Lepisosteus oculatus: one gene and its partner. The protein of the gene in region 1 purifies or fractionates together with the protein of each later gene. This does not show direct contact. Links are inferred from orthologs where the notes say so. Each region holds a gene or a part of one and is shown on either strand. Other genes may lie near its edges.

Region 1 (7,286 bases):
GTCCAGAATTCTTGAGCATCGGTTTTAAATAGTAAGCTTTCTTATACACAGAGCTGTTGGCTAAAAAGCGCAGTTAAATATTCCAAAAGTAGTGATTTATTTCAGCTCCCTAAAGAAAAAAATAATAATCCAAAAGCACTCCCAATCTCTCAAAAAGGTTTTCCAAAGGATGTGAAAACCTTTCAGTTCACCCTTGCATCTTGGTACACAACAGCCCTGCATATCTAAATGCAAAAATAGATGGTTTTTAAGATAAAGTCCCAATTATTGTCACCTGATACTCAAAAATAAAAAAATGCATCTTGTATGCCCTATAGATGAAATGAGTGTTTGTGTACTGGCCATTAACACCATATTTATAAAAAATAAAAAAATCTTAGATTGTTAGTTCATAAACTTTTTTTGTGCCATATATATTTTTCCTTTGTGGTGGTTTTCTGGGGAGGAGGTAAAAAATGCTATTGTTCCTTCTAACATTTTCAGCAACTGTTCTAAAAACGAGAATGATACATTAAATTGTTTTATTCCAACAAGCTTCTATTGGTCAAAAAACGATTATTCTAATTTAATTCAAAAATCATTTTTTCCATACACTGGATAAGCAACATATAAATATCAGCCCTTTTCCTTATATGATTTAAATAAGTACATAATATTTAATAATCAGATCAAAATTCCACTTCATGTGCTTCTTTTACACAATCATAATGTTGAAATCACCATTTTTATTAAATACTTGGTAAAAAATACATAATTAAATGTGGGAGCTTAACAGTCATTACCTACATTTTGATGGGTATTTAAATAATTTTACATGAATAAACTGGAGTGCTACTCACGGGACTTATATACACAGAAAACATTCTCGCACAATTAATATATTGCTCATGTCTTAAAAACAATATAACCTTAAATATTAATATATATTCAAGATTATTTTAATTGTTATATATAATCATGACAAATAAGTCATCTTCCGAAAAATATTTTAGACTATTTTGTTCTTTGAGCATATTCATAATACACATTTTTTGGGTTGTTCGGTTTTTAAACAACAGATCTGCAATCGAAAAGTTTTAACATGGCTGTTGCTTTTAAGAGTAATTGTCCTGTGCCGCCATATGTAATGGAACTTTTAAAATTAGTAAATTATTCATAAAGTGACAGTTAATACTAATATCTGAATATGCACCTTTTAACTCGTACGATTTCTGCCCTTGATATAGAGAAGAAAATATAACTGGGCTATTAATTCTCAAAAAAGTCATATATTGGAATTTTAATTAAATGCAACTTTTGGGGCATGTTTAAAACTAACAAAAATTAACAAAGCCTCATTAAGCACTTATTTTGTTCGGCTTTTTTTAGATTCAGAAGGTAAGGAACTTGCGTGAAATACTTGCACAACAAAACGCTACACGGCAGAATTTAGGCCCCTTTGGTTTGATGTGTGCTCTGAAACTTGTCACTTTGGATAGTCTGAAGGGAATCTGAATGAAAACCGAATGTGTATGATCTACCAATCCAATAGACTTAATCTCACAACCAGTGAAAACCTTGAAAGAGCTGGCAGAGAACTAAAAGGGAAAGTTTTAAACAAATTTCCACACATGTGATGGCAAGCTGCCATTTGAAAGCAAACTAGAAGGCGAAATGCACATTTTAAATGAAATCTGCTTAAACTAAATGCAAAGTTTGATGAACAAACAAATTCGACAGTGCATTGCTATAGCTCTTCATTGTTAATAGTCTGTAGGAAAATGTTTCGCAAAAGATACCACCAATTCTTGTGTAAGCAATTTATGTGTAGTTTTTGAGAGCTATTCCATAAAATCTCTATATATGACTCACTTAACTTCATTGGCTTTGCTGTTCAGTCGTATTTTTTACATCACTGCAAAAAGGAATTAATACGTTATAAGCAGAGTATAGTCAATCGATAATGATCACTTCTTCGCGAATGGAAAAAAAAACTAAAAAGTTGAGAGGATGCAGCACTCTATAATACATTTCTAAATCACACGTTACATTCATTAAACAGTTTTGTGTTTTTTAAACCACACACGAATGTTGCATTAACAACGAATCGTAAGCTTTATACGGTATCTTTTTATAAAAAAATAAACAGTAATGTTTCGTTTAATCGCCAGAAATAGTTTATAAATTACACTTGCCTCCGACGCGCTTCATAGACTTCTACCAGATTACAGTAACCAGCAAACAATAAAAGCAAAGAGATCGCCTATCCAACAAGTTTAGAATTTTTTCAAAAATGCCAGTATTGAAAATGGTAGAACAAGCGCTTTTCCATTGCTTAGACAACCCCCTTCAAAAAAGAGGAATCTCAGTAATAAGTTATTATTTAAATATGTTAAACTTTCATGCTTTAAATGCTCATCTTTTGTGTTGTTTTAAGAGGTGGCAGAACGAGAAGAATCTTTTTTTCACTTTTCTCAGTCTCGGATTTTTTCAGCAAATTTTGCAGACTTTTACTAAATTGTAATTTGATCCCTCTGACAGACTGCAACAGACATTCTTTTTTTCAAACTTTCATAAGCTGCCAGGGCTATGCAGTTCAAAAGAAGCTCAAAATTCATCACGCTTCTTTTAGTTTCTTGTACTTACGTGTCTGAAAGCTCCTTTTTCCAGGCTGCTTCTTGGATCTTTTTTTTCCCAATTGAATCTTTTTTTTTGTCTGGTTGCAGATGTTTCTTCAGTTTTCGCTTAGCCAAGAATCATGCGCTCTTTTTCTCAAGCTTCACTTTCTGAAAAGCGCTCAACAAGAAAACTTTTTTCTCCTTTCTGCACTAAACTAAACAGTATGCACCTAACTAGCCTCTTAAAAAGTGCCTACATACCTGTAAAAACTACAGTCTGTCTGAGAGAAAGTATTAATCTCGTGGTTGAGTGTTACTGTATTCAGTGTAAATTTAGTTGAGAAGAGGCAACTCCAGCTGCTCTCCGCTCCACGACTCCTCCCTTCGGATCGCACTCTCTTTCTCTTCCCTCTCCCTCTCTCTCTCCCGATCCCGCCGCCTCTTAGCAATCACAGCACTGCCTCGGAGATGGTTTGATCACTCCGCACTGGGATTTCTTGTGCCACTCTTTTAGCGCTGACTTCAGAGCCACAGAGGTGGTGGAGTACGAATTGGAGGTCTCGCTGGGGGGGAAAAATAGCAGTACACTTTCTTAGTGTACTTAAAAAGTAACCTCATCGGTTGGTGATAGCGCGGAGGGCTTGTGCTGCGTGTTATAATGTCTCTCCACGTTTTTGACAAGCTGGGAAATAAAATAACTGGAAGGGCGAAGATGCTAAAGGTGTAAAAAAGAGAACGGTTTACAAAGAAGCACGGGGAATGTATGATGAAAATCCATAACACGGACAAATGAGCTTCCAAATCTTCACAGCATTTGTAAGCGACAGAAATTTCAGGATAAGGAAAGCCACTTAATGTAAAGCAAAAACCCCCCAAAAATGTGTAGCTGAATGCTAGTATTTTGAAATCTATTCAAAAGCCACAATTCAAGCAAAATATTCTGTGAGAATAATGTGACATTTAAGAAATACTTTTGTACCATGATAGCTACATTTTTTCACATTTCTATCCTTTCTGAATCATGAAGTCCCTCCATTATTGGCAAACTTCTCATGCGGCAGGTAAGGGTCACAGCAACCCGGAGCCTATTCAGGGAGTATAGGGAGCAAGACAGGACTGGATAGGATCTCCCACATCACAGGACAAAGACACGGGGACAGTTAAGACTCAGATTAAACTAGCCACCATGTCTATGGGAGGTGAAGGAAACCGGAGCACCAATAAGAAAACCAAAGGACCCCTTGAAGAGCATGCAAACTCCCCACATAAGGACCTAGGATCATGCTGCCCCACTCCCTCAATGCTCGTTTTTATCTGGATAGTTTCAGATTATTTTCATGTGACCCGTCCATTTCTAACATTCATCCATTCTCTAACCTCTTTATCCAATAGTGTTGTGTGGGAGCCAGGGTCTTTCCCAGCAAGCAATAAGCACAAGGATGGACACCATTCCATCACACTGCATGCACAAATATACACACACACACTCACACTGTGGTCAATTTCCTCTGAAGCCAATTAACCTCCCAGTATGTCTTTGGACTGTGGCAGGAAACTGGAACACCTGGAGGAAACCCACATGAACACGGGGCAAACATAAAAACTCCATGCAGACAGCACCCCAAGTTCAGAATTGAACTCAGGGCCCCAGCACTGCAAGGCAGCAACACTAACCTCTGCACATGTTGATGCCTTGTTCCAGTTCACATTTATGTATTAGATGAAGAACAGTATAATATAACTTCATATCCACTAGAAAATAAATGTTACATAGTACCTAGTCAAAATATGTTCATGAAGAATTTTACTTTTGTAACAGAGAAGTATACATGCTCTTCTGTCAATATATTACAGTACTCACTGTCATTCGACATTCCCCACCTATTTCAAGAATATCCTAGTCAAGCAAATATGTCAGTTTCAAGCCAGTAAACTCAGTCTTCTCCATCTTAAATAATATTCTGGTCATTAAAATCCTCTAATGGAGTTTATTAAACTAAAGTTCGGGAGGGGTGACAACAACCACACTATCATCCCGAGCTGTCAGCAATTTGCAATCACTCCCTTAGTCCTTTCTCCACCGAACACTATTACTACTAAATGCGTTATCTCTCTCTCCCTTGCGTGCGACTTTTTCATCCCACCTCTGCAGCTGCCCCTTGGTCACCCTGCGTGGGGGTCCTAACCTCCTCGTCCTATGGCCAGGAGGTTGGCTTTAGCCAAGCGGGTTGAGTCAAATATTCACTCCACAATAGTTCGCCACGCTTTGATTTTGGGGCGTTGTCATTCCTCGTGAAATGTGCTAGAATACACATTAACAAAGTGAAATTAAATGTGTAACTGTCAAAATCTGAAATGTGAACAAATATGCCTTTGCATCACTCATTTCCTTTTAAATATTGCTTGGGTCTGTTGATACATTAGTCTTCTATTATTCACTATTTAGCCTGGTACGTTTCTCACAAACTGTGAATCTCAGGTCCTCTTTTTTTTTCCTCCTTGCCTTTGTACCTATCTTATATTTTCTTAAATCTAAGTCCTCTTTTTTATTCATTTTGTTTAAGAGCAATTTTAAGGGTTATGTATTATTTTGGAATTTAAGAAAGTTCCCCAACTAATGAAATTAAAGGGAAAAAATAAGAACTCATATAGAGAAGATGCAGTCTAGAAGGAAGTGTAAAAAGCTTTATAGCTTTTGTCAGATAATCTTTGCCTGCATGCAGTATCTTCCCCCATCTAGAATGAAGGATTAATACTATTTACTGATGCTTCAGGACTTTCCTCTGCCACTCTCTCTTTTGTCATTTGTTTCAATGGGAACATACAGTCCACATACAGTATTTATCCCCCTTAACAAGCAGGCTTCCTCCACTGTCCAAGAAGATCAAAGCAGTAACAATGTGGGAAGTTGGGGTATTAGGAACTGACATGCAAGACATAAGAAGGGGCATACTGAAGGTGACATCATCCACCTCTACTTGAGTTCAGTCAAGTTCAGCTTGTCAATGGCTGTTACTACCTGGTATTTCCCAGAGATCAGTTTATCCCAATACTTACTCAGGCTAGCAAAGTCTCTCGACCCTCTGTTGCTGCAGTCTTCCTCAGAGAGTCCAAACTATTTCTCTGACAGGCTGTTGGGATAGATAGTGGGAATTTTTCATATTCATTCCACAGTCCTGTTTCACGCACACCGGCTTTAATGTTTCTGAAAAATGGGCCAGGGATTTCTCAATGTCCTGTCAAGAAGGAGCAAAAACATCTTGCATAGAATACAGTTCTAGTACTCTCCTGTGCATTTGTTTAAGAAGACCTCAAATTCTCTATCCCACCTGACTGCCATTCCAAAATGAAGACATTCATGAGAAATCAGTTGATACAAAGTGTCTACTTATACAGAAAATGTGTGTTTTTATATAAATTAGGAATTCCTTTTAAATTTAATAACGTTATTTTTATCTAATTATTAAATTATTTCAATTGAAATAATAAAGAATGTCACTAATGTGTGAGTTGTCCTTCCTCAACATCAAAATATTGGAATCAAGGGAGCAAATCCTATTTTTTAACACCAATAGCACTTTGAAAAGGGTTGCTGAACAGCAAATATGATTGGATTAAAAGAGAATTGAATCTGCAGTGAGATAATCTTCAAAATGTCATCTATTTCAAAGACTTAGAACTGGTTCTTGTCACAGCTTAAAATGTAAAGGCGCAAAAAACATGTGGGAATATTATATATTATATGTTGATCCATCAGTAAATCAATCTTACAAACAGCATCAAGCGTTACATTTCAGAGAGGAGAAAATATTAGGGATTAGCTTGTTAGCTCACAGAGCTTGTGTTCAACTGCAGAGATGGCATGCAGAGTGATACACAAAAATAAAAAGTTTATTTCTGCTCCTCAGAAAAAGTTGAAGGGTGAGGGTTTAAATCGCTTGGAATCCCAAATTTTCTTCTTTCTGTACTTACATTTTCTTGCAGGATGATTTTATGCTGTAAAAAATAATCACTGAAAGATACTGTATAAGCAGCATAATAACAGTAGTACTGGACCCTCAGATATGGATGTTGACAGTTACTAAACACTTTGTAGGACATAATGTAACATCTTTAGTGCTTCAGGGGACTGAACATTTAAAAACTACAAGACAAGAGTGAGTACTATGCAGATACATTTAGACACATGAATTATACCAAAATCCCTACTGAATCTTTGTCTTTTCTTGAATATACTATATACTATCATTTAAAATTTATTAAAAACTAATGTATTCTTAAGTATGATTTTGTGCTGTTCGTTGCTTCAGTCACTTGAATTGATTGGTCCACTTTTGGCAGTTATCATGTTCAAACAGAAAATGTTTTGCAGTCTGTCACATGGTTCAAACATCAGTTCAAACAACAGTTAAGGTCCTGATCACTTTTATAGATCGGACTTCATTATGGACCCAAATGTTTTGTCCTCAGGAAGAATAAGGACAGAGGGCAGAGAAAGTTCCCTCTAGGAAAGGAATAGCTAGCGTTCTGTGGGAATGCTGTATTCAGTGAGGTGTCAGGTTTCAAAAACCAGATTTTCGAGAAATCAAAATAAAGTAAAGTGGTGAGGACCAGACTAAAGATTCAAGATAAATGTTCAGAATGAAACATGATACTCTATAAAAGTGCAAACATTAAAAAGATAGTATC
Region 2 (7,078 bases), on another chromosome or scaffold:
TTTCAAACATCAGCACGACTAAAGTGGTGTATTTCTGTTATGTACTGCATAATAAATTACAACTTCTCAGAAATCGGACAGCAATTGAAAAGTACAGACTGGATACAAGAGGCAGCACTGCACATTAGAAGTACACTGTACTGTGAAATTATTGTTTTTGTCAATAAGGTGCTGGTTCATTTTTGGCTTATGCCTTAAAGATGATATTGTATCAGACACTAACTGTACCATCAATAGACTGAGTTCTCAAGGAAAATACAATTACAAAACCACATTCAGCTTGACAGGCTTTCAAGCTAGCCCCCATGTCATAAAATACAAGTTTTCGACAGCAGCAGTATGCAGTATACTCCACTTAAAAATATCAAAAGGAAATTTCGAACCATGGCTTGCAGAGAAATGGCATTCTGCATTATCATAATTATGCAGCCACTAGAATGATACATACTAAGATGTTTTTGTTACAGGACATGATTCACCAAGGACACGAATACCTGGCGTGGGCATATAAACCAAAACCTCAACAAAGCAGTCTGAAGCTGGTTTACATGTAAATAAGACAGGCTAAATTTCAATTAGCACAGAGCTCCCCCAAGACAGGCAATTTTAAAGATCCAGAAAAAAATGGAAGCTAGGCAAGTAATTTGGTTTCTACAAGGATCCCACATTCCAAAAATTAAACACTGCCATCTGAGAAATGTCTACCAGAATTGGAGTTAAATGGCCAATAGTACAATCTGTGGTACAGGACACACACCAACAAAACAACAAAGTAATTGGCATCCTGATGTATGAAGGGATCCTAATTTGCTATACTCTTAACAGCAACGTCATTACAATGATATACAACAGGTTTTCACTGGCAAATTCTTGGAAGAAAAACAGCACTACAAGGCACCAATTCACCAAACAGGTGATGAACTACTGCTGCAATGCACTAGGTGCAAGACTGAAGGAGATGTCAGCGTAATAAACCATGTCATGTTTCAATTCAATCTGTGCAGCATTTCCCCCAGAAAGAGACGGTTTCCAAGCTTCAGGAAAAAAATGACAATTCTTTATTGACAAAACAGTATGCTGATGTTGGAAAACAAAATGGCGGTCAGGCAGCCATCTTGGTTTAAATGAGAACCTGCTTTCAGCATGTTAACTGTATTCGTGGGCCAGTAACATCTACTGAGTCTACTGAATTAAATGCCCAAGTGTTTGCTCAGAAACAGTCTGTGTTTTGACAAGACAACTAAATAATATTCAGAAAGTCAAGAAGGCTAAGACAGGAGTGCTGTTCTAACCAAATTATAATCATCCTGACAATGTTTATCAGATTTGCACTTACCCAATGTTTCTGAAGAAACGTTTTTCACAAGCAGCTGATTTTACAGTGACCATGTTCTTGAATGTAGCAACCTGAACAACCTTGAGAAGGGAACCTGGCCTGACTTATGTAGTTATACCAAATCTCATTCCAGTAGGCCAAACCGTTTGAAAGATGTCAAACATTTATTGCACATCTCACACTGTGCAAGCCATTGGGCAGCCAGACATTGTGACTTCTCAGTCTCACTTTCACCAAAACAATTTCTGATAGGCCATCACAATCCTTTGAAAGTTCATTCATTTTTGTTAAACAATAATGATTTTCTACACATTTGGAAATGTTGGTAGATGAATAAAACAAGCAGAACAATAACAATAAGTGTCCAGTAATGTTGCCTGGAAGCCTGAGAGGACCATCCAACAATAGGGCAAACAAACACAGCTGTAATGAGTTGTGGACTGAACCTGACAAGTGAGAATTCAGTACTGTAAATACTCAGTCTGAGTCAGAAGAACTCAATATAAATACAAACACTACTGAGATGAAAAGAAACCTCTTACAAAGTCTACAAAATCTGGGAATTAATATTTTTAGTGGTGCATGCCAAGTTAATGTACCTTAAACCATATCACATATGCAAATATCTTATATTTACACTATACATATAAATAATGTTTATTTAGACTATGAATATGAATAATATTTGTTTTTTAAAGGGGTAAGCCCACTTGCAAAGCCAAATCTGTGCATTGAACTACTCTTTAATACCAAAGGTAAGTATTTAAGTGTTGGCAGTCTTTTGAAGTGTGGTGTGGATTACAATTCTGAATTACATTGAATTCTCATTTTATGTCAGAATTCAATATAATCCACACTAACCTGTAATTATTTCAAGATGAAACCTCACTGTTCAAGATATCTGAAGGACAAAACCATCAATTAAAAGAGCGTATCTGTAGTTTATATTCAACACAGACAACATTAAGACTTAATTATACGTGACCACTTGTGCTGAAACACAACACAGGACACGTCAAGGAAAAATATGAAATACATCCACCAGTAAAACCTAACAAAAATGGCCTATATGAAAGACACTATATCCAACATCTAAAAAGCTAATATAAGAGTATAGTCTACACCTCAATTAAAGTACACTTCAATAAAATTGATACAAATATTAGTTGACGTAACATAAATTCAAGCGCACCGAATCAAGCATAATGTAAACACAGGCCAAAGCTAAACATCCACTGGGCAGAAAAACACATCGATTACTTCAAGCAAACAACTATCAAGATCAACACACCAACACATAATATTCATTATATTCTCTTCCCTGAAAAGATCTCATTTAGCTTACGGATTTTTTTCAATAAATAAACGTAAGTTTATTTTGTCTGTTTATTTATCATAGTCCAAGATGGCGGCTTGACCCACCGGTACATTCATTTCCAGCACAAACCGCTATGGACAAGCCCAAACCTTCATCTCATTTGGGTTCTGTCGAGTGTCAGAAACCGACTTTGCCCTGTCATCTCCTCACCATAAACTTCAGAGCCTTCTCTTGCAGTACCGTCTCTGGTTCCATCGTCAGTCTGTCCGGGACTGGTTCTCTCTCAGCCCCGGGACCTGCGTCTCTCCACTGCCGCTGCTGCAGACAGGAAAATCCGTTCCACGGCACTCACCCCCCAGCGGCCCAGGCTGCACGGCTGAAACAGAATTGTGGGGTTTGAAGTTTCTTCAACCCTAAATATTGTGTATGCTCATATCTCAAACACTACAAGTCCCAGTTGCGCTATAAAAGCCTTTGATGCATTCTGGTAGTTCCTGTTTTATTTACAATAAGCCTTTACGTACTACAAATCCCACTAAGCGAGTGCGTTACTCTGGGATGTGTAGTTTTTCGATCTTTTGTTTTGTCGGTTAGTTACGCATTTAGTATAATAACTGGATACATATTTTAATCTAATATTATTTTTTTTTAAAGCTGAAATGCGATAATTCTGCTATTGTAGTATGTCTCGTGTTTTACATACAAGCGATATTTGATTTAATATGGAACAATTAAAAAAAGAAACATTAAACACTGGTTTGGCCATATCCAGTTTGTCATATATAGAAGTGGACACAATCGTGGAATTATCCAGTGGTGTTATATATGACAGCACAGCACATGTGTATATTCTATCATGTGTACTGATTACATAATAAATACGTGTATTGATAACTACCCAAGAAGTGAATAGTTAATGTGCAAATTCCATTCTGAACGTCTGCGTAGTATCGTATACGGATTAGGTTTTCCGGTCATTTAACCATTCTTTATTTTAATTTCTACTTTTATTCTCCATGGATTCTTGTTCTATGCTGCAATGCTCTTTTGATCTGGTTCTGCTATGGTATGCCATAATATGCTTTTATGATGTGCTGTATACTAAGTGCGATGTTAAAGCTGTATTATTATGAACTGTAAAATTGCTTTATTATTAATTTTAATTCATTGTTATTTAAAAAAAAACACATAAAATATTGCTTCACGTCGTTTGTATCCCGGATTCGTTTCATGCTCTCTCAATTTTAATGTCTGCTTTTCCTGGGTGTTCTAGTTTCCTCCCACCTGCCAAAGACATGGTGGCCAGGTTAATTGCTGTCTTTAAACTGTAGCTGCACCTGTGAATGTGTGTCTGTGCTCTGAGACTGGTGTCCAGTCTAGAGAGTAGTACTGCGTTGTGCACTGTTTTCAGGATAACTCCAAGCAGCCCTTAGGAATAAGGTGCTCCTTGATCAAGAATAGATGGAACTCCAAATATACAGTTTGACATTACAGTGATAGCACTATTATAATTTCAGTTATTAGTAAAGATATTACATGAAGTTAGGTGAATAGTACATAAGATGGTGTTCAATTAATTGCATTATTATTATTAGTCGTACTGTATATTGCTTTAATTAGTAGATGTCTGAATTTGAACCCAATGATAATGTTAAAAGCACAGCTAATACACTGTGGCTGCAACTCTGGTGTCCTGGAAAGAAAGGTTTCCAGTAATGTATGGAAACTTTGCTATTTATGGTTGTGTTTCTACTGAAAATAAATACAATTTATTACATTTGATATGATATTTTAGCAAACGTGAACCTTAGTAAGTCAGTCCTGGAATTTTGTGGTGGTAAAATAGGACCAGTGGGACAGCTTAAGGCAAAGCTACAAAATAAAGGTAGTCCACTTTTAAAGTTTGACTAAAATCAGACAGGCACTGAGACAAGGCCAGTATGAGCTCTTCAGTGTGCAACTACAGTATGTATGGGGTCTTAAATTCAAACACCTTGACTAGATTTCTGCTACATCATAAGATAAAATTATTTCATGCGCAGATTCTAGGCTTGCTGTTTTGAAACTGTCTTATTACTGTCAACAGGCTCATGTACTATTGACAGATAAAATCAGAGAACAAAATACCAATCCAAACAACTTCCTAGCAGATCAAACCATCGTCCATATAGTTTCTAGTTGTTTGGGGTTGCCGCTGTGTGACCGTACCTCAACACTTCTTATCAATAGCCTTTCAGATGTTTTTCCAATGTATCATTAACAATTAAAGCCGTAACTGTTGTATACCATTTAAATAGTATGCCCATCTGATCCTCTATCCTAGCACAAGTAGCTCGTGTCACCACCGAGAAAGTCAAGAAGTGACAAGGATTTCCAGGTCAGAGCTGCATTATTGTTACAATGACCATCATTTGTAATAGTACAGGCTCTAGTATTATAGTAGTAAGCATGGCTGTGGTTGCAGTGGTAACATTGATGTAGATTGTTCAGGTTGGTATTAAAGCATTGTTCTCTTGCTAAATCTATGCTTTAGTACATTTAGTAATATTTTAGTAATATATCCTTTCTTTTACTTCTTTTCTTATTCATAGGTGCAGTATAGATATTAAGGACTATTCCCTTTATTGCCTTTTCATTATTATGATCCATGTTGTGGGCATATCCAGCTTGCATTTGTCATTTAAACTATATTCCAAAACAAAGTAATTATAAATAAATCTTTGTGCACATTAATTATTGTTAATAATAATAAATGATTAAACTTTTCAACAGTGTTCATGAATATGCAATCATAGCTCCCATGAACAATTGACAGATTTATAGAAGAATCAACAAAATGAGGTGTATGATTTCTCTTGATTTATGTCAGCAGAAGAAAGGATTATTTATTGCCAGGCTGCTGGACTGGAAGATTCATCCTCTGTAAGAATCCGATTGTACAGCAGACACTGTGCGGGAACACAGCTATGACTAATGGCTCCTTTGCATAGAAATGAGAACTCATGGACCAAGAACTGTAAAAATACAATAACTCAATTGACAGCTGATCTCTTTATCATATGCATAGGCAAGCAGCCTATTAATTTTTAACAGACAAATAGTGAAGTTTTTTTCTGGCTGCTTTTTTTTTCTTAACACAATGAGCACCAAGTATAAAATATACATTTTTTTCTGTACTTACGAGTTTATTCTAGAGTGCAGCAATGCATAGCTGGAGGGTATTCTGTGCCAATGTGAAACATATAGTGTTTCTTGAATTCTTTAAAGGACCAGTTTGAATCAACTTCCCCTTCCTGCTATATTCATCCTGACTTGTTTTGTGCCTTGTTGTGGGAGCAACCTGCTGGGGTTTCTATCTACATGTTTGTTTTTGCCATTAAGTGACTATCCCAGTAAGGACGGGTTCTTGAAGACAAGGGTTTTCCAGAAGGCCCACCAATCTTAGGACATTTTGAAACAGGACATGTTTTCTACAGTCATATCTAAGATGAGAAGTGTTTGCCTTAATTACTGTATATTTTTGCTCAATTTCTAGATGACAGAATTATTTAAAGTATGATACTCATAATTAAGTTCAGAATTGCTCCATTAATTCAGTACAAGACTGGACTTCATTGCATTATGTTTTCAGAAAAGTTCTATCTGAAGTTATTTTTTCTGGAAAGGGTAGCTAGCACAGCAAATAGCAATCTAAGCAGAATAAAAAACATCATGAAAATAAAGAAATAAAAGGATATAAATATAAGGATATAAATAAAAGGAAAAAAAAATGGATAACATACAGTATGTCTGTAACTCCATGAGTCATGGATATATACAGGGGTGTAAATTTCCAGGAGGAAATAAATGTGGACAGTCCTCAGCTTCATGTGTCTAGTTGTGATGCTCAGAATATCTTTCTCTTGCTCTCATGGATGAATTGTAAATTTGAACTGAAATGTAATTTGTTAGGCAATCACCTCACCGCAGGAGCCAGCAGAAAATGAGCCTTTCAACTAATTTCACATGGGCTATGTTTTGCATAATTTAACATAATAGAGTCTTATACCATACTTTAGATTAAAGATGAGTAGTGAATTGTAAATTATATACATATACTTTCTACACACAAAAAGGATGGAATAAATGTCTGGTCCTTTGCTTTTTTTTCCCCTCAATTCCCTTGGTGTAAACTGTTTTACTTCCCAGGATTTAGGGACAGAAAAGAACATGACATATTTTACAAATATTCTGTTGAAAAGGGCTATGTAGGATATGGTCCTGTGATTGGATGTGCAGTGTGTAGTTTGGGAATGTTGCAAACTAGTTGGTTTTTATCCATGGTTGGAAATACAGCCATAAATGTACAATTAACTAATACCAGGCCACAGAAAAAGCAGGCCTGCCCTGCGTTTCTTTAGTACTTTAGTGAAAAAATAAATAAA

Evidence for each region. Proteins that work in one complex are often made in the same cells at the same time.
Region 2: the proteins of gli3 (region 1) and F-box/WD repeat-containing protein 1A purify together in Homo sapiens (affinity purification with western blotting, with the first as the bait; 3 studies listed by BioGRID). This does not show direct contact. The link is inferred for Lepisosteus oculatus from reciprocal best matches to the Homo sapiens genes GLI3 and BTRC.

Annotation. Positions count from the first base shown.
Region 1 is NC_090701.1:16,241,731-16,249,016, reverse strand, and holds the start of gli3 (transcriptional activator GLI3), read right to left. Parts: upstream 3,009-7,286; 5' UTR 2,626-3,008; intron 1-2,625. UniProt on the Homo sapiens protein: Has a dual function as a transcriptional activator and a repressor of the sonic hedgehog (Shh) pathway, and plays a role in limb development.
Region 2 is NC_090699.1:35,670,883-35,677,960, reverse strand, and holds the start of F-box/WD repeat-containing protein 1A, read right to left. Parts: upstream 3,018-7,078; 5' UTR 2,910-3,017; coding exon 2,865-2,909; intron 2,238-2,864; exon of another isoform or gene 2,198-2,237; intron 1-2,197. UniProt on the Homo sapiens protein: Substrate recognition component of a SCF (SKP1-CUL1-F-box protein) E3 ubiquitin-protein ligase complex which mediates the ubiquitination and subsequent proteasomal degradation of target proteins. Recognizes and binds to phosphorylated target proteins.